2 linked regions of the Struthio camelus genome follow. The protein of the gene in region 2 interacts with the protein of the main gene of each other region in a biochemical or structural test. Links are inferred from orthologs where the notes say so. Each region holds a gene or a part of one and is shown on either strand. Other genes may lie near its edges.

What was found.
Region 1: the proteins of RBSN (region 2) and RAB5C form a complex in vitro, tested with the Homo sapiens proteins (2 studies listed by BioGRID and IntAct, with this or other methods). The link is inferred for Struthio camelus from reciprocal best matches to the Homo sapiens genes RBSN and RAB5C.

What each region holds. Positions count from the first base shown.
Region 1 is NC_090966.1:7,567,493-7,578,830, forward strand, and holds the start of RAB5C (ras-related protein Rab-5C), read right to left. Parts: upstream 4,868-11,338; 5' UTR 4,696-4,867; intron 1-4,695. Other genes in the region: KCNH4 (potassium voltage-gated channel subfamily H member 4), read right to left, coding at 6,889-6,936, 7,144-7,297, 7,499-7,866, 7,966-8,013, 8,460-8,674, 8,765-9,014, 9,461-9,660, 9,817-10,011 and 1 more. UniProt on the Homo sapiens protein: The small GTPases Rab are key regulators of intracellular membrane trafficking, from the formation of transport vesicles to their fusion with membranes.
Region 2 is NC_090955.1:452,187-463,597, forward strand, and holds the start of RBSN (rabenosyn-5), read right to left. Parts: upstream 4,353-11,411; 5' UTR 4,254-4,352; coding exon 4,091-4,253; exon of another isoform or gene 3,974-4,090; intron 2,411-3,973; exon of another isoform or gene 2,225-2,410; intron 1,358-2,224; coding exon 1,217-1,357; intron 1-1,216. UniProt on the Homo sapiens protein: Rab4/Rab5 effector protein acting in early endocytic membrane fusion and membrane trafficking of recycling endosomes. Required for endosome fusion either homotypically or with clathrin coated vesicles.

The sequences.
Region 1 (11,338 bases), on a different chromosome or scaffold from region 2:
CCTAAAACTAGTCAGTGAAACTCACACTCCAGCCTTTTAGTTCCCTCTTGTTATAAGAATTTCTAGCATGAACTGTCCTTATTCTTCATCCAAGTCACTTTTATAACTTCTTTGCATTAACAGCAACCAGTCAGCATCTCAGTTCTACAGCATCTAAGATCTTGATCAGATTTTTTGCAAGCCTAAGACAACCCTGAGCCACATACACACATCAACAGTTCCCCGTGTGGAATACATTAAACCCCCAGAAGGGACAAAAGAAAAGTGTGAGCAAACTCAAATTCAGTTTTAACTCACTGGAGAATTCCATCTCAAACTCTTTTATATGCAAGTTTTAATATCTCCAATCAGATGCAGGAAGCTCTACCACCAGCCTAGTGCAACAGCAGGCAAATACTAACCCTTAATCCTTCCATTACCAAGCTTCCAGCACTGTCACGCAGACGCTTTCCATAGCGCAGGTATAATTTGGCAATGGAGCGCTCATGTACATGCCTATGCTCTCTCAATCTTTTTTTTTTAGCCAGCTCAACCCCATACACAATCCCTTTACCAAAAAAATTTTCCTAGGTTTAAGCAGTTACCAAAAGTTTTTGGCAATGTCTCATAAAGTGATAAGACGTTATGCTTACTGATGCTACCTTGGTGCTACAGGTTTCTATATTTAAGAGACAGTTGAATAAGTATCAGCAACAAAAGTTATCATTTTGGTAACACTGGCATTACAAGGAAGTTCCATGCCTAATCCAGTGGGGGTTTTAATTCTGGAGAGGAGCATGACTAATTGCTTTCAAAACTGCAGTTAGTGCCCTATTAGATCACCATAGGCTGAACAGAAACATGCAATTAGAGCAGGCAGAGGTATTGTGCTTCTGCCTGTTCCTTGTACATCAGGAAAGTGACAGGGATAATATTAGAACACACATTCTAACCAGTGCCACTTAACCCTGCAGCTCTGTTTACATGATAGCAAGTGAACTCACACACGGTCATGGTGACAGAAGATCCATAAACGCAAGCTTTCAGTATTGCCTTGGTCAAGCTCTATTTAGGGGAGCTACGGGGATAACACACTTGCAAAGCGTGCTGTGAAAGGAGCAAGAGAGGTGGCAACTTTCTACTAAGTATTAAGGCATAAAATGCAGCATTGACTTCTATGGAAGTGTTTTACATCACCCTCATTTTAGGTAAGCTTCTTCCTAGCTGGATGGCGCAAAGCTACCTATTCCAGATACCAAAGCAGCCCCTGTCCCCACATTAACTCCTCTTGGAGGTCTCATTTCCTTTTAGTTATCCTTGACAACGCAAGAACTTAGTCCTATTTCACAGAAGTTGAGACATAGCTATTCTGAGGAAGTTATTCATGAGCACAGTCTGGACCAACTAGCAATTGAACAGAAGAGTCAAGTTTTTAATCTTGTAGGAAAGGTTCTTATACCTCCTGTTTTTGGTATTGTCTCCTACTGTTTAGCACACCCTTGAGAGACTCAGCCTATTTTTGACCAGGAGCCCAGGAACATACACCTTTAGATGACATCTACTGTTTTGTGAACAGGACAACAAAATCATTAGCGGTGCAAAGCAGAGAACCGCCATCTTCACTGCAAAAGAGTCAGTGACCTTCATAATATCTTTTCCAGACTGCACAGAGATCTGCTGCCTCTAGCAGTTCCTTATTTGGAACACTACTGAATAAAAACAAACATGGAAACCAGTGTTTTCTTATCTGTTCATGTAGAACTATTCCAGGAGTTTGTTCCTGTGCTTCAGAGGAAGAAAGAGTGTTCCTTTTAGGATTTAGATGAAGCTTTATTCTTCCCTGGTATTGTCATTGCCAGGAAGGCTCTTTTTCCTCCGGCTAGCACTTGGAATGTTTTTGTAGCTTTACTCTGAAGATTTAACAGAACTTGCATAAGACTACTTTAAACTTCATACCCCGAGGGAATAAAACAGCTGACTCTGCTATTTCTACATTCTACTCTCCTAAGTATGCTGACCAAAAGACTTCAGGCTACACCCACTTCACGAGAAGTGTTCCCATTTCATTTCCTGTGTCTGAAAGTACTTGGCATTCTTTTCCCTCCCTTTTTAGGGAGCTGCCATGGCCACCTATCACCTAAACATGCAGCAGCCTAGAAAGTTAGGATCACAAGAATTGATATGACCAGCATGGCCTATGGAAAGCCTCTAACTGATCCCTCTCTAGATGCAGAGCTGCTTTGCCAAGATGGAGACAATTCCACTTCCTCCCCACTCCTCCGCACAGTGATTTAGTTTGCCAAGCAGGCAGAGTATGAATTTGTTACTAGACAGTTGTTTTAGACATGAGCCCAGTCCATTAGTCATTTCATTAACAGAGCAGACTGAGCTAAACCCAACTCTATTCAGAGTAAAACCAGACAAACTTTGATTTTACTAAGCTCATATCCATACATGAGGTTAACCTTTTCCCTTACAGTTCTAGCAATTTAAATCCTTCTTCAGAAGTCCCACTTTAGCTTACATTGCTCCCCAACCTGGAAAGGTATTAGAGCCTAAACTGCCTTCTTAAAGGACCTGCACTGCCAGGAACTATCTTAACATGAATGTAGTCTGAATTAACCTGTAATATACTAAGGGTGAAAGACTGCCTCTAAAGGCAGATTTTGCTATGGAGAGTACTTGACTATTTGGGCATACTGTTGAGATATCTAGTTTACTCAAGAGAAGTTTGAGATGGATTATAACAACTGATTCTCAGTACTAATGAGTCTAAGCACACCTGTTCTTAACCTTACAGGTCTGTGTAGCACAGTGCTTTACCTGCTTTCCTTACTCCAAGGAGGCATTAAAACCAATGTTGACTCATAGCTCTCTACAGCTTTTTCAGTCACTGCTCTTCTATCTCATCCCATTAAATTGAAAACTCAGCCCAAAAAACTTCAGAGTCAAGGCAGCAATGAATATAAATGAGCTATTCCAAGGGAGTTCATTCACAGCAGGGCAGGCTAACCCAATATGAATCAGAAGTATGATTTTATTTTTCGGTCTCAATCAAGCTCTGTAGCCACTGCCTTTAGAGCGAGCTCAGGAGTCCTAACTTAGTGCAAACTAGGATTGATGTCATGCTATAAGCAGGGCAGCTCACATATTTAGAGACCCACCACACAAAACACTAAGAATAGTAGATGCATGTTGCTCCACATAAACTTAAAATAGTACCTCAGTGTACTCTCTTCGCTTTGCTTTCCTTACATGTTTGGAAACTACCAAGGTCAGAGGTGTGAACAACCACGTACAGAAACAACAAGTTAAAAGTCAACTGAGAGCAGGTCAACACTGTATTTGATCTCACAGGCAGTGCATTTTACAGGGAAAAGTCAACGTTGGTTAGAGCAGCAACTGAGTTGTCATGGCTCCCATGCTTCAGTGAGTTTTAAGAGCACCTTGAACATTATCAGGAACACAGCTCAAGCAACTTTTGCAGGTTCTGGCATTACAAACCTGTTAGCTCACCCTTATTTCTGCACTATGCCAGTCTATACAGGATCACATGTTGACTATCCTCAGTTTAAACACAGCATTGACTCTTCTGCTGCACAGAAGAGCTGTGGACGGTCTTACGTCTGAGCATTTGGGTTTTTCTTGCCAGCTCCGTTCCTCATTCAAGAGCCTGCAGCACCACATACTTCATTTCACATCTGTCCCTTGGAGGACACAGGGGCAGTGATTTTCATCAGCAGGAATCCAGAGATGCCTCAATTCCCCTGGAACCTATTTTCAGCAGTTAAAGTCACATGCTTCATTTAAACAGTTTTCTACTTCAGAGCCCAGCTAGTCTTTCAGACTCTTCTAGAGTTTCTATGCCGACTTCAGCAGTTCACTAACTGCAACAAAATATTATATCACTTCTACCCCTACAGGGGCCACCCCTCCCCCAAGTCCCATTTAAGTTCCACACAGTCACCTCTAAAACACAGCACTACGAAAGAGACAAAGGGATTGAGAAACAGCATTCACACAGACCCTCAGAATACTGACAGCAAGTGCTTGCACTCACTGTTAAGTGAGCCCAAGCCTTTCTTATTTATAAGGAAAAACAATATTGAAGAGCATTATTAAGAGAGTCAGATCTGAATTTGCAGGAAGCCAGTCTTACATCTTCATCAGATTACAGGCTGTCGACTTTGACATGCTGATCCTTCGGGCGAGCAGAGCTGCCTTTGCTGGCTGCAGAGCACTACAACACCAGCTTCACTCTCCACGTCCACAAGGCCGGTCTCCCGCGGGCCAGCAAAGTTCACTCCCCTGCCTCGCACGGGTACTGACCCCGCACTAACCTGCCGCAAGACCGGGCTGCTCCTACCCCCGCTCGGGCGCCCTTACTGCACGGCTCGCCGGGGCCCATCCCTCGGGTGAGGCAGAGAGCGCGAGTCCTCCAGCGCCGAGCCGGCCCGAGCGGACAGCGCGGCCGGAGCCGGGCCGGGCGGCGGCCCCGCTCCCGGCCCCCGCCGGCTGCCCGCTCCCGGCCCAGCGGGTCCGGCCAGCGGCGGCCAGGCCGCGCCGCGCCGGCCCCCCCCGGCCCCGGCCCCCGCAGGCCGCGCCCCACCCCGCAGGATCCCGGTCCAGCCCAGGCGGGGGGGGGAGCGCGGCCGGGCGGGCCCCGGGCCCCGCGCCGCCGCCACCGCAGCCTCCCCGGGCGCCGGCCGCACTCACCGCGCCGGCCCCGGCCCCGCCGCCGCTGCTCGCCCCCCGCCTCAGGTGAGTCCCGCAGGCTCCGGCCTTCACTTCCGCCTTTCACCCGTTCCGCTTCCGGATCCGCCCACCCCCCTTCCGCTCCCCGCCGACAGGCAGCGGCGCCTGCCAATCAAATTCGCCCCGCCCCCTCACCGGCGCTCCTCCCCCACTCCGGACGCACCGCCTCACGCGAGGGGCGGGGGCTGAGTGACGACACGACGTAGCCCTTTCCCCCGCGGGGGACGATGGGAGTTGTAGTCCCGGGGCAGCTCGGGGATCCCCGGGGAGCCTGAGGCGTTGGGATCCTGGGGGATCCCGGGGGGAATCCCTGGGCCAGGGGAAACTCGGGGCACGGGAGAGCCTGGTGCAAAGGGGGAATCCCAGTGCATGGGGGGATGTCCGGAATGGGGGATCCCGGTGCAAGGGGGGGTCCCGGTGCAAGGGGGGGTCCCGCTGAAAGGGGGGATCCGGATACAAGGGGGAATCCCGGTGCAAGGAGGAATCTCGGTGCAAGGGGAGGGGTCCGGTGCAAGAGGGGATCCGGGTGCAAGGGGGGGGGGTCCCGGCGCAAGGGGGGGGCCCGGTGCAAGGAGGGGTCCAGGTGCATGAGGATCCGGGTGCAAGACGGGGAGTCCTGGTGAAAGGGAGGGGTCCCGGTGCAAGGGGGGGGGGGTCCAGGTGCATGGGGATCCAGGTGCAAGAGGGGGAGTCCTGGTGCAAGGGGGGGGGTGTCCAGTTGCATGGGGATCCCAGTGCTTGGGTGGGGATCCGGGTGCACAGGGAACCTTGTGCATTGGGGGGGGGGGCAGAAGCTGAGGCTGCTGGTGCTTCAGGGGATCCCAGCGCCCCGCGTCCCCCCCCTTCTCCGTCCCACCGCAGAGCAGGGCAAAGAGCAGTCCCGGCCCGGGGCTAAATGAGCCACCCGGAGCCAGGGGCTGTAAAAATAGAGCTTTTATTTCCCACGTGTGTCTGTGCAGTTTGGGGGCGGGTAGGGGCGCGCAGGAAGGAGAGGGCATGCCGGGGAGGTGTGGGAGGGCGAGGCAGGGCTGGGGGCTGCAGTCTGCAAAAGGGACCGTCGGGGGGTAAAAAAATAAAACTACAGCAATCAGAGCCCTGAAAAACGTGAAGGAAGGGGCCGCGGCCCAGAGCGGAGCAGCGGCCGGCGGGGACGGCAACAGCTCCAGGGCCGCCGCCGCCGCGAGGCCTCGGTGCCGGCCGCGATGTCTCTTGGGAGCCGCTGCCTCGAAAGCGCCCGGAGCCCCCCAAAACGCCCGGGGCCGTCAGGCTGCTGCCGCAGACGGCGGCGCCGGGGCCGGGGAGCAGGGCGGGACAGCGGGGTCCGGCTTACCAAAAAAAAAAGAAAAAGAAAAAAAAGCCCAAACCGCGGGAAAAGAGTATCAAAAGCGTATCAAAATCCCTGCTGGTTTCGGAGGCCGGGGCTCGGCGGAGGGGCAGCGAGGAGGGCGCTGCAGGCGGGACCCGTCCGCCGGCTGGCCGAGGAGAGCGGCCAGCGCGCAGACGGCACCGGGCCGGCACCGGCGGCGGCGGCGGGGGCTGCGCGCTGCCCGGAGCCCCGCGGCCGCGGCCGGCGCGCCGGGGTCAGTGGGAGGCGGCGGGGCCGGAGCGGAGCTGCGGGCGGGCCGGGGGCGGCGGGCGGGCCGAGCAGCCGGCGGAGGAGTGGGGCGAGCGGGCGGGCGGCGGCGAGAGGGGCGGCGCGGCCGCGGCTCGACGGGGCGCCCGGGGCTGCGCGGGGGCCGCCTGCGCCGAGCGGCTGCGCCCGGGGCCGCCGCTGCCCCGGGGACCGGCGGCGGCCGAGCTGCGGGGGCCGGGCGGCTCTGGCGGCACCGGCCCCGGCCCCGGGGCGGCGGCGGCCCCGGGGAGGCCGTAGGGGCAGGCGGGCAGCGGCGCGCCCAGCCGGCCCTGCAGCAGCTCCATCATGCGCTGCAGCTCCCGGCTGAGGTGGGAGACCTCCTGGTTGAGGTGGTTGATCTGCAAAGGCACGGAGAGCCGGGGGCACGGCCGCGCCGTGAGCAGCCCCGCGCCGCCGGCGTGCCGCGCAGCCTGCCGCCGGGACCGGCCGCCTTCCCCGGCGCAGCCGTCCGGGAGACGTGCCCACCCCAGGGGCCCCGGCACCTCCCCGTACCTCCTGGTTGAGTCTCCGGACGTTCTGCTTTATCTCCTCTGCCTCCATGTCCAGGCCTGGGCTGGCCGGGTCGGTCCCTGCCAGAAAACCACCACCGGTTTCAGCCTGGCAGAGCTCCCCAAGGGATGCACTGCCCCTTCTGCTTCCCCCCTTGCAGCCCCCAAGCAGGAGCACGAGGGCCCGGGACGGCCCCGGGGCTCGCCCTGCCCTCGCTGCTCGCTCCTGCCCCTGGCAGAGCCCCTCCAGCCCTGCCGCAGCCCAGCCTGGCCTGACGCCGCAGGTACCTGACGTCGAGGAGTCCCTCGAGGCGCTCTGCAGTGGTGGGTCCACATTGAAGCAGAAGGTTTGTGCCTCCGACGTGCCCCCGTCGTCTTCAATGCCATCCACCACCCTAGGGCAGGGGAGAGGGTGCAGACCGGGGGCGAGTCCCGGGCCGGCCTGGTGGAGCGGAGCGGAGCCCACCATGCAGCCACGCGTGTGCACGGGACGGGGAGCACCGGAGAGGACAGTGTGTGCAATGTGGGGAGGGGGCTGCCCTCTCCCGCACACACACACGGCAAAGTGCGCATGCGTGGCCTGTGGCCCCGTATGCACAGACACGCGTGGTGCATGAGACCCACCAGCATGCACCAGCCTTACCTGGGGCTGAGGTCCGGGGGGCCAAAGCTGTGCAGGGACGGTATCAGCAGCTTGGCTGGCTTCCTGCCACTGCCGGCCTCCCTGTCCGAGAGCAGGGCATCCCGCCGGCACCGTGGAGAGGGGCTGTGGCCCCGGCTGCAGTGGGCTGGCGAGCGGCAGTTGCGCCGCAGGGCTGAGAGCTGGCACAGCTCATCACCCAGCAGGCTGCTGAGGGACCCACGGCGCACTGGGCTGCTGAAGCTGGGCAGCAGCAGCTTGCGGCGGGTGATGGTGGTGGGTGAGCGCTGGAAAACGTCATCGGGTTCCTCGTCGTCCTCGAGGATGGAGGGCAGGGGCTTCTCCGGGGTGCCACCAGTGTCCGGACACGGCTGCGGGTGGGCGCAGGGAGGTCAGGGCCGTACCTGTGTTGGGTGCCGAGGCCAGCCACGCTGCCCCCACCCTGCTCGCCCCCCCAGCCGGGCACCAACCTGTGCTGCCTGCGCCAGCCGCGGGGACCGGGCGTAGCGGAGGAGCCCCTGGGGAGAGAGCACACGGACCCGTCGGCATGTGGACGCGGGGCTGCGGGGGCCCACTGCCGGCCCCGGGGCTCGCCAGGCTGCAGCCCCTCGCCCCCTCCTTCCCCTGCTCCTGTCGTTGCACCACGGCACTGCGCAGCCTTCGCCGAACTCTGCCAGGGCTCGCTCGCTGCCCCGGTCTGCAAGCCTTGCATCCGCCTCGGCTTTCCACAGTGCAAATGCTCTCGATTGCAAACTCGCCAAGCTGCTCGCAGCTAGGAGAAGCCAGGCTGTGCCTGCATGGCCGGGGTGGCACAGCGTCCCTGCTCCCCAGCAGGGCTGCAGGTCCCAGCCAGCACCAGCTCCTCGCATCCTCGCAGCCGCTGCCGGCCTTGCGCGGGGGCATCCCGCCCCAGGGCGGCCGCTGGGGGAGGCAGGGCTGGTGCAGGGGCAGGACACGCACCCACCTCCATCTCGCTGCCCTCCCGCAGGTTGAAGGTGAGGTCCTGGTGGATGTCAGCCGTGAACTTGCTGGCGTACTCGGGGTAGAGTTGCAGCACCTCGCAGAGCCCCCGCAGCCCGATGTACTGCAGGTCGCAGTAGGTCAGCGCCTTCACATCTGCGTTGGTCTTGATCACTTGGTCCTTGCTTGGCAGGTCGGCTCCGATCAAGTCCCCTTTGCCTGCGGGAGGGGATCGGTCACAGCCCTGCGGTGTGAGGGCACCTGAGCTGCCACCCAGTCCACGCGTGCAGCAGGGCCCGCTGCCCTCACCCAGGATGGCCAGCACCACGTTGTCCCGCAGGACTTCCAGGGAGCCGGAGCAGACGAAGTAGTTGGCCTGCAGCGCGTCGCCCTGGCGCAGCAGGTACTCGCCCGGGGCGCAGAACGAGGTCTTGATGTGCAGCGAGAGGGAGCGCAGGCAGCCCCGGCTGGCCGTCTCGAAGACGGGCAGCTGCAGGATGTCCTTGTTCAGGTGCATGGCCACGTCTGCCCGCAGCTCGTCGGGGAAGTCGTGCAGCAGCTGGGGGAGCGGAGTCGGGACGCTGGTGGTGCACACGTGGGGCGAAGGGAGAGCAGGCTTCCCCTGCTGGACCTGCCGCCCCCGGGGGAGAGATCCCCTGCCAGCAATGGGGCATCGTGCAGCGCAGCAAGCTGGGGTGCCCTCGCCAGAGCCCAGCAGCGCCTGGCTGGCAAGCCCATGACACCTCTGGCTGTTGTAATCGGCTCTCTCTGCTCCCCGTGCACGTCCCTGCTCCCCGTGCTGGCAGGAGTCGTGGCCCAGTCCCAGCTTGCAGCGCTGATCCCCCCAGCAGCAGCATGTGTGCATGCACCTTTGCACACTCACATGTGTGCACAGGTGCATGCTTGCACCCGCAGAGCTGGCCTGGCCGGCTCCATCAGTGCACGCTCAGGGTGCAGGATGGGCAGTGGGAGCAGGACTGGCCCAGCGCCACCAACAGCTCCTACCTCGTTCGCATCGATGCCGTTGTTCACCGACCAGGTGGTCTGGAAATACTCCAGCATCCGCTGCTTGAGCTGCTGGGGGAGGCGGTGGACGCGGATGAAGTCCTTGAGGTCCTTCATGCGGGTGTGATAGAGCGAGCGGCGCGAGTACATGCGCTGGATGATGGCCGTGACGTTGCCGAAGACCACGGCGTGCATCAGTGCTGGGGGCCGGGAGGGCAGCGTCAGGCCAGCACCGGGGGCTCTGCCCCGCAGCAACGTGGGGAGCTTCCCCTCGCCCCGCACGGGGGCTGGGCCGCGGGCACGCGCCCATCGGCACCCGCAACGGGTCCCCGAGCCAGCCCCGCTCCCCGCCTCACCCCCGATGAGCATGGTGCAGATGGAGAAGATCTTCTCGGCGTCGGTGTTGGCACAGACGTTGCCGAAGCCCACGCTGGTCAGGCTGCTGAGGGTGAAGTAGAGGGAGGCGATGTAGGCGCTGCGGATGGAGGGGCCCCCCACCGAGCTGTTGACGTAGGGAGCCTCCAGCCTCTTGCCCAGCTCGTGCAGCCAGCCTGCCAAGCAGAGCCGGGGGTCAGCGCCGGGCGCGGGGCCCACGCAGCCCCGTCCCTGCCCTCCGCGGCAGCCAGCCAGGAGGGCTCCAACCCGCCGCTGCTGCCTCATGAGGCTGCTGCCTCCTGCGGGCAGCGGTCCCGGGCGGCCCGGGCGTGCGGCGCTCACCCCCCGCCCCGTGCAGCCAGTGCCGCACCGGCCCCGCTCACCGATGTCCCAGGTCAGGGGGTCATTGCTCTCCAGCTCCTTGCGGCCGATGACGTACCAGATGCATGCCATCCAGTGGGCCAGCAGCGCGAACATGGACATGAGCAGCGTGAGCACCATGGCGCTGTACTGCGAGTAGCGGTCCAGCTTCTGCAGCAGCCGCAGCAGCCGCAGCAGCCGCACCGTCTTCAGCAGGTGCACCAGCGAGGTCTGGGGAGCGGGGCAGGCGGGTGAACCCACGAGCTGCCGCCGGGCCAGGCAGCGCCGCCCGCCGTCCCCCCAGCCAGGGACCCGCCACCACGGGGCCCCGAACGGCCGCAGCTGCCAGGAGGGTGGTGGGCGCTGGGAGAGGCTGGGAAGAGCTCCCTCCCCAAACAGCCGTCCACCGCCATACCCGACGCTCAGCGGGCAGCTGGGCTCAGGGTCATCAGGGCACCGAATGCCCCCAGGAGACGGGAAGGGAGGTGACCAGCAGGAGAATGAAGCGAGCAGCAGAGGCTGGATGTGGTGAAGCTATGGTGAAGCCAGGCTGATCTACTCTACTTTGCAAGGGAAGTCTCAGCAAGAGGCTGTGTCTCGCCTGCAGAGATTGCAGATCCAGCAAGCTAGAGATGCCCTGGGTTAGGCGGGTTGATTTGAACGTGCAGTGATGCTGCTCTGGTGCCATCCGCTCCCAGGACTTCCCACTCTGCCCAAAATGCTTGTCTCCATCCTCCTTTCCCTTCCTGGCCCACGTCGGGCATTACAGGGAGCCCAGGGCCGTGGGGCACAGCCAAGGCAGCTGCGCGTTAGCCGCTGCCGAGGCCAGACACCCACCGAGGCCGGCCGGGACGGCGCGGCTCCTGGGGCTGCTCGGCTCACCTCGGCTCAGCTCCCCGCCACCTGGGGGGCCTCCCACTGCCGCTGCCCCTGTCCGGGCAGCTGCCGCACTGCAAACTCGGTCCCTCAGCAGTGTTTTGCAGGAAATGGCTGCTTGTGCCCTGGCATTGCAGCCCCCCAACGCAGGGCACTGCTCCCCGTGCACCTCTGGCTCACCCTGCCCTGGCAGAGGCTGCCTGCGGCCCGGGGAGCGGCCTGCGCTCCGGCCAGCTTGTTTTTGTGGCCGGCAGCACCAGCTGGGGC
Region 2 (11,411 bases):
TAAAAATCAAAGTTACAGATAAAATACAGAAATAATTGTTCCTCCGTAATGGGACAGGTAGAACATAAAATCAGATGTTTCTCTTTGACGCTAACTGTTTATAAGAATTTAAGGTGATCTCTTTTCCTCATTCTAATGAGATGCACAAAAAACTCCAAAGCCACATTCACAGGAATGGAAGGGCCCCTCTAGGTAACTGAGTTCACACTCTGCTGTCGCACACATCAGAAGGTCCCTTTCACAAACCCACCAAATCCTATCCTAAAAATCCGTAAGGTTTATCTTCCCTGCTTCCGTCAGGAAAGAGTTCTCACTTCTCTAATGCGTAGAAGCCTTCTGCTAATTCACAGCCTAAATTTATTCTTAGCTAATATTTATACTTATGATTGCTGCTGAAAGAGTCCAAGTTAAAAGTACAATCATCTACAGAACTCAGACTCTGGCAGACCCACAGGACTAAGTCCCAGGCTGTCAGCAGCACAGGGAAAACCTTCCCAGGACCCACCAGTAATAGCACTGCCTCCCTTTCCTCCCCTGCAAATAACTGTAACAGTTCAGTAACAGTAAAGCGCAATTTCTAGTAGCGCTATTTGTAATTACAGGATCAGTCAACACACTTTTGAACTTCTGCAAAGTTTAGTCTATATCCAGAGCTGGGTTTTTTGTTGTTTGTTTTTATTAAAGAAAACCTCTTCCTTCCAAGCAAAAAAATGAAAAAGTTCAAGTGAAGGGACAAGCTTTCTGTCAGGCACGTCAACTAACATCGACTTTAAGTATAACCTAAAAGTCAGAGATTTTGTATGGCTATAGTTTAATTATTGATTAGTGGATTATCTGTTTTGTAAAAAGCCAAACGATGGTTGCAGGACACCTCAACAAAGCTAGATCCGGAGGTAAACACGTGTATGCAGCAGGACTCAACAGCTCAGGCACAATGACATGACAAATATAACCATCTTGCTCCAAATGTCAGTTGGGGTCCTGGTGCAGGTTTTTTTTCCCTTGCATTATCTGCAGTTTCCCAGTCACCCTATATAACATAGGTAGGGTGCAAGAAACCACATGCAAGCCATCACTCCATGCTGTAGCATTTGATCTATGAATCAAATGCAATACAGACAACTTCATGCAGCTTCAGCAATACTGTAGCATTTTCCCCAATTAAGATTAAAAGAAAAAATTATCCGCGCTGCATATCGCTTCCTAGTTCTCTTACCGAGTTCTTGGGGCTCCCACATGTACGGATCTACTCCACCATAGCTAAACGACTCATATCGTTCCTGAGACCCAGAATCAGTTCGATCATCTTCTCGTTTCAGCAATTTCTTCTTCGCTCTTTTAGCCTTCTGGACTAGATCTGGAAAAGACAGACCCGCATGTCAAGCACCCGACAGTTAGTCACTGAATATTTGTCATTTGAAGCCAGTATAGAATACTCCTCTGATCTTTGAGCACAAGTCTTTTTCCTTGATGACAAGTTTATTATTAATATTTTTGATTTTTACGCCAATATAACCTAGCCTGTTTGGAACCAGAGCACGGTCCAGAGAACCACAGCCAATATGAAACGGTGTTTGTTGTCTGTTATAAAGTAGCACTAAGCTCCTAATGACAAAGCAGTAGTTTTAGACGCACCATTCTGAGACTTAACTGCAAAACAGTAAGCTGTTGACTAAAGCAGCATTAACTTATGAGACCCACTCCATAACATGCTGGGCCACCATACATATAACAGCTCTTCATTCCGAATGATTTTCTGAGGATTCAAGGATGCTCAGAACCTTCTTTTCTCCATTTTTGTACTAACTGCAAACTATATCTAGATAGTTTCCCAAGTACTATGCGGCCCATTCCGTTACCTCATAGTAACGCTAGTGAGAGGAGGACAGTCTACTGGGCCAAAAGGAGGACTAGGAATTTGAAACTTGAGAGCTTTTATCCCCCTTGCAGCTATGTTCCTCTTTGGAAGCTAGCAGAATTTGAAGGGTGCTAATTTTCTTGCAGAAGACATTCAATTTCTCCTAGAATTAAGTCTTTTATACTTCAAGGTTTCTGACACGGTGCTGGGAACCATGAGTTAGCAAGTCCCTTCAGGTTTCTACTTTCCTTATGTAGTATCCAAAACACTAGAACTTCCACCTCAACTGCACCAGAGCCTCTGTTCGGGAGTTTCAGTCACTACAGCTGTGCCAGCAGCACCCCTTCGTGCAGGCATCATACTTACTAACTGAAGTTTTTCAGCTGCTGAAGTTATGCTTCCTCACAAAACGACACTCACTGAAATGAAACACTCTTGTCAACAAAGCTGTGTCCCCGTCAGGCTGGCAAAGGCTTTGCTAGCATTGTAACATCATCGCAGAAACAGGATTTCTCCTCCCACCTTTCCCCAAAATACTCCCAAGGCAACATGGCAAATGCTAGCTGAACACTGCAGTTTCTTAGGTGAGGTTTACACCATATAAACAGGAAATATAGTAAGTGAGACATACACAAAAAGAATTCGCGATGCCTCATGGTTTTGCCACAGACACAAAAGGTTTTCAAGCAGACTTCATAATGTCTTTCGTAACAAAATCAAACACAAGTACCTCTGTATGACTCACTCAAAGTACTAGAAATGACTAGAAGTCACCTTATAGCTCCACAGTTAGGATACTCTGAATTCGGCACAAAATCACATAACTACTCGTGATATACGGTTTGAACTCTAGTCCCTTGTTTAAGGGAAAAGATAGTTTTGTTGGCCTTCTGTCTGGGAGGGACTTCACTGGGTAGAGCTAGGACAGAAAGTAAGCAAATAAAAACAACATTCTTGATATCAACACACAGATGAAAGACCTGTGCCTGAGAAGGCGCAATACACTACTTTAAAAGAATACTACAGAGAGAACAAAATCAAAATGCAGGTGTTCTGCATTAAATAAAAGAAAGCATTTGGGAAATCTTACCAAGCCTAAGTTGTTGTTGTTTTCTTTCCTCTTAGTGCAATGCAAACCCTATTGCTGTTCTGGTTTAAACACTCCACTGAAGCGCCTGCGATTCAGCTATTACAGCACTGTGCCCATGATGAGAACGTGATGCAGTACTGACCAGTCTGCCTTCACTGTCCAAGAAGAGCACAGTGCTAAAAGCCAAGTAGCAGCCAGACTGATGGAAAGCAACTTTTTATAAAATATATGTTGTACATATATTTTTTAAATAAAACATTCAATCGTACTACTCTTAAGATAGGTTATTAAAAACAGGAACTTCACTTACAAGAGAGACTTTTGAAACAATAGCCACCAATCTCATTAAAAAAGAAGGTAAAAATTAAAAACTGCCAGGGTGCTATCTCTATTATAATAAAGTAACAATGAAAAGATTTTTGCAAGGAAGACAGAAAATACCCACTGCTCTGCACATTTCTCTCTCCATGTAAAAATGACACAGTGTAGACAAAAGAGAAACCAAGGAAGCAGTATTTTAGTTGAAAAAGAATCCAAAGGGATTTTCCAGACACCAGTGAAAGTTGGTGATCTGGAGCGCAACTCTGGGATACTCTCAGCATCTATCTACTGCCCTCCCTCAGCCAGCACCTCCAGCCATGTTCTTGTCTATGTTTATCTACCACCAACCGTCCTTAACTTTACACTTCGCCTCACTGTCAGAAATAGGGGATTAATGAGTTGGTACCTGGCAAGACCGGAGATTACCTATGTTCTGTGAAATCCCAAGTGTTAGCTGAAGAATTTATCTGGGTTACAGCATGAATTTGAGAGTGCTCAGGTTAAAAAATAAATAAACAAAGCCAATAACATGTACACAGTACACGCAATCAGATACCTGCAGAGTCAGGCCTTCTAAGTGACTACTTTCAGTATGTAAATTCTAAAACACCACTAAAAGTAGCGAGTGAAGAATAACGTATTAACTACGCCTTAGCGTAAGTCCTTTCACGGGGAAACGGAGCCCTGCCCCCGCCGTAACTCACTTCCATTAGTATTTCAGTACTACTAGCCATCCTGAGGGTCTGCAGCACCAGCAGCTTCGGCTGCAGGGAATTTTACCAGACAAAAAGGAAAGCGCCAAACGCGCCGCCAGGCCTCACTTCTGAGCTGCCCTCGGACATCCCCGTCCTCGCCGGAGTGCTCCTCCTCGTAGTGCGACTGCAGCTGGTAGAAGGACTGAAGGTCCTTGAGGCAGAGCGGGCACAGGAACCCTTCTCTCACGTCGCCCGGGTCGCCGAAAGGCGGCGGGCAGCTGGAGGCCATGGCGAGGGCCGTCCGCGGGGCACGGCTCACCGCCGAGCTGCGGCCGCGGCCGGGGCCGGGCAGCGCGGCGCGGGCATCGCCCCGCCTGCAGGGAACCGGCAGCGGCGCAAGGCTGGAGCCCCCCGGTCCTCCAGCGGCGCCGCCGGGGCCGAGCGGCCAGGGCCAGGGCCAGGGCCGGCGGGGCCTGCAGCGCGGCGCCTCTCGGCGGGGCGGCGGCGGCGGCGCGCAGGCGCAGTCGGCAGCTCGCGCGGGGCGGGGCGGCGGCGCGCAGGCGCAGTCGGCAGCTCGCGCGGGGCGGGGCGGCGGCGCGCAGGCGCAGTCGGCAGCTCGCGCGGGGCGGGGCGGCGGCGCGCAGGCGCAGTCGGCAGCTCGCGCGGGGCGGGGCGGCGGCGCGCAGGCGCAGTCGGCAGCTCGCGCGGGGCGGGGCGGGGCGGGGCTTCGCGCGGTCGCGGGCCGCTGGCGGCTCCCCCTCGCCTACGGCGCACCGGGGCGCTGGCAGCACGGGCGCGCTGAGCCCCCGGCCGGCTGTGGCCTGGCTCGGCTCGGCTCGGCTCGCAGCCGCCGGGTGCGCGTCTCTGCCTTCGGCGGCGGGGCAGCCCCCGGCCGGCCGCGCCCCAGCCCGCCGGGGATCCCGGCGGCGAGCACCGAGCTACCAATGGGCAGGGGCGGGCGGGCTCGTGCGGACGGCAGGGGGCGGGGCCGGGCAAGGCGCGCTCTGCCAAGCGCAGAGCTGTCGATGGAGGCGGCGCGGCGCGGCGCGGCGCGGGGCAGCCGTGGGGCCGGCTGGGGCTGGGGCTGGGGCTGGGGCTGGGGCTGGGGCTGGCGGCCCCCCTGCGCCGCAGGCTGCCTGGAGGTCCCCGCCGGGAGCGGCGGCGGGAGGCCCGGCTGGGAGCGGGGCCCGGCCCGGCGCCGGCGCGGCGTTTCCCGGAGCGCAGGCCCGGGCCGGGCGGCAGAGGGACTGCTGATCCCGCCGGGAGGAGCGAGCGGCCCGGTGGCGGGAGGGCCCGGTGGGGGGAGGGCCCGGTGGGTGGGTGGACGGCCCGGTGGAGGGAGGGCCCGGAGGGTGGACGGCCCGGTGGAGGGAGGGCCGGGTGGGTGGAGGACCCGGTGGGTGGAGGCCCGGTGGGTGGGTGGAGGGCCCGGTGGGTGGACGGCCCGGTGGGGGGACGGCCGGGTGGAGGGAGGGCCCGGTGGGGGGAGGGCCGGGTGGGTGGACGGCCCGGTTCCTTTTCCTAGCCCGCCGCGCCCTTCGAGAGAAGCTGTTGCAGGCCGCGGGCGGCCGTGCCGGATTGCGCGCTGCTCGCAGGGGCCGGGACTCCCAGGACAGCCTGCTTCGGCCCCATGCCGCCCGACAGACGGCTGTGGGACGCAAGGACGAAAGCTTGTTCGTATCCCCTTTCGATGCTCGTTACTGCTCGCTCGGGCGGTGCTCTGTGCTGTCCCCCCTTCCCCAGCGCGCAGAGGAAAGAAGGGTGCAATCGTACAACTGCTTCATCTGTCAAGATTACAGGCTTTTGAAGGCAGAGACTTTCCTATATCTCAGGCAGCGCTCCTTACGCTTAAGTCCCATCCGTTCAAGGTGGAGCATCGTTGCTAACGTCCCACAGTCTCATGCCTGAAGTTCGGGCATCTCCGTTCTCAGCAGGGATCCTGGGGAATTTTCCAAGGCACAAATTGCTCCTAGGTACCCAACCCCCAAGGTCTTCAAATCTTAGCTAAAGGATATTTATTGAACGGTCCCACCTGAGATATGTGGTTTATCCACAAACTGTTTTGTGAGCTGTCCTAAATTCTGCTCTCATTCCTGCAATCTCATCTTTATAGGCTGACTATTATGTGACCATCTTCAGCACCTTTCACGTCACCAGTGAATTTGACCTGTTTTGCTTGTATAGTTCCATAATCCATCAAAAGCATAATGAGAAATTAAAGTCTTGAAACTGAACTAATTTAACCAGAGGAGTAATTGAATGTTATAAATAGCCAAACTATCTGAATTTTTAAATCTGCAGTTTCCTGCTGAGACCCGTTATGCTTTGCTTTTCAAAACAATGCAGTCTTGATTCGATTATGAAGAGAGAATCAGGAGGCTATGGAAATAACGTAGAAAACAAGTTACAATCACCTTCCTGTTTTGCATGCAAAACACAGACTCAATTCCTCTGATTTTAAAAGCTGAGAAGAGGCTTTAGGATGCTGCAAAAGCTACTCTGATCAGATACTCTCCTAGCAGTGCAGTCAGGCAAATTATAAGCTGTTAAGCTTTTTTTTTAAAGGTATGACTTAACTTTTTTCCTTAAGTTAAGGGGCTATAGTACCCCTAGTTCTTAAAAATCTGAATGTGTTTTTTAAGTGTTATGATTTTTATTTTAAAACTTGAAAAATTCTCATCTATAGGGACTGGAGTTTAAAGGAGCAGTATATGTAAAGAAGGAAGGTACTTCATGGATGAAAAGGGGAAAAACAGAAGTAACCAGCTTACATTTCTACTGATGTTGTTGTATAGAAAAATATATTTTTGGCCTCTTCCAACCTTAGTGAGAAGGGTTTAACCACACATGGAAGAGGCCTGCCAAGATGAACTCAGTATACTCAATATTGAGCTGGCAAAGCCTTTTACCGTACACATCTCATCAAGGCTTCTGGGGTTTCTCATTGGATAGACCTATATGTGGAATTGGGGCTTCAATTAATAGACGTGTCGTGATCTTTCTGGATTTGCTGGAGCTCGGCTGTTTCCTAGCACTGAGCCATGCTTGTGTTCTGGGCAAGACAGGGGGAACCAAATTGCTGCCCCTTGGTTGTTATCTTGCTCCTTTTGGCCAGGCCTCTGTTCAGGCCAGCGATTTGTAACACACTGAGCCGGGGAAGGACTCCTCCAGCAGTACGTGTGTCTCTGGGGGACTGGAAAGACTCGGAGAGATCTAGGTGGGCAGTGAGACCTATGTTTGGATGGGAGGGAAAGAGTTCAGAAGGGTGAGAGTGGGAATAAGCCCCCCAAAAGGCGAGAGCAGATGCAGGGCTTGGTGGAGGGGGGGCTCTCTAGCACTTGGGTTGTCTTGTTCCTGCCGGGGGGGTGCGTTCTGCTCTGTTCCTTGTTCAGCACAAGCGTGGCTTGCCAAGGCGGTGAAGGGCGGTGGCGAGGAGCGGGTAGGTGGGGAGAAGCGGCTGCCGCCAGATGGCACAACAAGCATGTCTGAGAACCGCCGAGGGTCTGGGAGCGGGCGTCTGCAGGGGATTTCACAGCGCTGGGGCTGCCCAGCGTTCGGGATGGACTCTCTGCCTGGCCGTGAGGCCCTGATGACCGACCCTGGCAGCTCGGGCCCCTCCTGTCCTGTCATTCCGAAGTGGTAAGAGTCGGGCAAGGGAGAGGGAGGCTCCTGAGCAGCAAGGTCTTTTCTTAAAAAAGAAAAGCTTTGCCGTAGCTTCCGTAACTGCTAATTTTCAGATGGATAATCTTAAAGGCTTATTAAAATGGTAAATACAATGATTAAAGTCTTAAAATAATAGCTTGCTGTTGGACGATAACCATATAGTGAGAAGGACTGCCTACAGTGAGTTGTGGTAAGCATGCTAACATGCTGCAACGTACTCTAAAAATCAAAGACTTCACTGGATCTTTAGTTAATTACGTTCTTCTGCATGTTGTGCCTTTGACAACAGACTACAACAGAGCATCTCACCAAATGAATCTTACTGAAGTATGGATAAAAAGCCATGTGTCAGTCACTCTTGAACAGAGAAATTTCATTCAGCACTTTGAAAGAAAAACGCTATAGATTTGCACACTTCTAAACAGAAATGGTCTTTAGCAGTTCCTCAGGAGCTCGCTGAGTGCAACCAAGTGAGTGGTTGCACCACTTCACTGTGGTGTGGATATTTACGACGCTATTAGACTGAGAATCAGAGAAGTAATAAATGATGCAGAGTCAGCATGCCAGATGTAGTCGTGATGCGTCAACGGTAATTGCTGGTTCCCAAAGGCAAATTTGGGCTTAGGTATCCCTCCTGAAGTGCAGGGGAATGACCTAGGCTTGTGCTGGTGTGAATGGGAATAGACTTTGGCTGCCTGCCGCTCATTGAGACGCACTTTCCCACTCAGAGAATGTTCAGGGTCCAAAAACATCTCAGTCTAAAGCAATCCAGTTTATGCTACTTCAAAAATGAACTTGGGTTCATCCAGCTAGTTGCAATGGAAAGAGATGGTGATGCGAAACAGCAATCTAAAAGGTATTTGGGGACCAATTAAACATTACAGAAATGCTACTGATGCTGTTGGGGACTAAATTTGAATCAGTAATGATTTGCCGTTGTGAATCAAACTGAAAGAGCAGCAATACAAAAAAGGAGAGTGTTTCAAAGGCTTGCTCGAGTGGCGTGTTCACTGCCCCATCTCTGCCACTGGAATATGAACACCTGGCCTGCAAAGCCCCATTTCTCATATATAACTCCTCCTGCTCTGCCGCAGGAGTAGAGTGAAGGGGTCCTGTTTGTGATGTTAGCTGACCTGCTTTCATCCAAGGACCTCAAAGTTCTTTGCAAACATTCAGTTAACAAAGTTGTATAATATCTCGTGAGATGCTATGATACCTCTAATAGTGAATTTTAGGGCCCTGTCTGGTGCGAACTTGGTCGTTGCGTCTGATGTCCAAGACGAGACACTTTAGTGAGGATACAAGTGAGGGGAGGAAGCCAGTCAGCTCTGTAGCAATGGCAAAGTCCTGCCGGAAGGGTATTGCACTTAGGTTCTCCTATATTCTTTATCTTCCTGTAAAATCCTCAGTGGCATTTGCCATGATAAATAATAAGAGTCTGATCCCAGCACAAGAGAGGTAAATGTAGACTAGAGGTAGTTCTTGATAAGGCCTGTCTGCTGCTCAAGGAATGCAATGGAGCGTTTTTACACAAATATGGCTTACTCATTGAAAAAAGTTTAAAATATCTGACAACTAACTGTGTTGAATTCATTCCGTCCTTTTGGTGGAAGCAAAGATTGGAAAAATCAGAATGTTTTTCCTTAGTATTTTCTAAACTAAACAAATATTTGGTCTAAATGGATGCTATGTTTTTGAAATTGGCCTAAGTTTTGTGATAAATTTTTAAAATGTAGTTTTAAACCTCAGAATAGGTTGTGCAAAATATTCCTAATGTTTCCAATAACCCAAAATGATCTTTGATTTTCATATATCTGAGAAAACAGTTTGGGTTTTGTTTTTTTTTTGCGTTGGATAGATCTGAAACAACATTTTATGCAAGGTTTTTTCTCTGAGCAAAATTAAAGTTGCAGATCTCTGTTCTTAAGTACCTTTTAATGAAAATTCATATACTGAATATACTCAAGCTGCCTATAGTAAACACTTTGATACAAAGCAAACTTGTTTAATTAGTCTACATAGGGAGGATAAGAGAAGCTACATCTCCATGCCAAATCTATGATTTTTCTGTGTTTGCAGACTCGTCAATCAAAACTGACAGCACGATGGCTTGTGGGAGCTGCCGCTGGCAACTTGTCGAGCCCTATTTCTGTGATTTGCCTGTTAACTCCTTCAGTACTGTCTTAGTGCTGAGGTTCTGTGCAGTGAAATGAGGCTGTCTAGCAGGCCAGTCGTCAACACAAATTTACCTCTTCCCTTCACGCGGCTGATGAATGTGGCGTATTTGTCCTGAGTGCTACTGATATCATGGAACGGCACCACTTTATAAAGAGGGGAGAGAGGAATATTCAGAATTCCTCTGTGATTACATATTGTTTGATGTTGTAACTGAAGGATCCATAACGCCACGATGTTTAGATTGTGTTCAGGACTCATTTAAGATTTCAGATGAAACCATATTTGGGTACTTTCTCTGGTAGCCTCTCTTGTCTTCTGTTTCCCCTACAAATTTGTACAGCAACCAATTCCCATCTTGAAGGCAGCACGTCTAAAATCTATAAGCAGAATGCCCCCTAGATACTGTCTTGCTGTTTGGCAGAAGGAAAAGGCTGCTTGACAGTATATGATTTGTGGATTTTTTGCAGGGCTGTTGTTGCTGTCGTCTTCAACACAACTTGCTTGTTCAAAGAGGTTGTTAGAATGATGTGCTTGCTTTTTGAGCACTTTTAAGAGTGCAGCTGGCAGCTTAATGTTAACTGAGTGAGTCACCAGGCAAGCAGCGACTCTACTTCACCTCTGGTGATGATGTTTTCAAACTTTCTCCAACTGAGGAATCACTAAAAGTAATACTAAGGGGAGTTTGGGGGGGGGGGCACATGTCCCTTGGAAACCTTCAGCACGTGCTAATTATAATGATTTAGCAAGGAGTCCAAGGCTGATAGGTTGGGGGGGAGCGAGGCAGAGAGCAGTAATGATGAGAGGAGTTGAAAATAATTGCAGGAAATGTTAGTTACACCATTTGTTCGCATTGGCTTCCCCCTCCCATTGAAAACAAAGCTCATTTTGAAGGCATTTACAGAAGCTGCTCTTTGGGAATCAAACTCTTGTATGTCTCCGTAACTGGTAACATGCCGGAAATGTGAAACTTAAGTGGAATTAACAAAGAACTCACCTATGAAGGGTTGTTTTAATCCCAGTCAGAGCTGGAAATAAGAATTTGCATCACTGTGATGGCAAATTAGGGCCAGTGTACAGCTTTGCTTTGTGGACATAATGCAGATTCTGCAGAGGACAAGAGAGACCTTTCCACTGACTCCAGTAACCTTTGGACTAAGTCTGTTATTGATTTCTTATCACTCCTCAAGAGCCACAAACTGGGCCACAGACAAATAATACACTTCACTGGAGAGCTTTGCAACTTAAGAGCATTATTCTGCAGTTACCGATATGTGCATCTACATTTACATGTGTGACTGAGCAAAGCTATGAGCAAAGCCTGGAACATCTAGGTGTTTCCACAGATGTTAAATTCTAACAAAAGATGACAGCAAGGGGAAGTTATACAGTAAAAATAACATGTTATGTGAAATGCAGTTAGCAAATTCTTACTTTAAAAGTAAGTAGCATATATCTGTTTAGTTCGTATCGCCAAGGGATTGCACTGTGTTTACCGTTCAAAGAAGCAAAGATTGCAGTGTAGAAACTGGCTCTTTTCTGGTTTCATCCCTTACCCGAACCTCAGGCCCAAAAAGCTTTTAAGGTCTATGTAAATCTGACAGATATT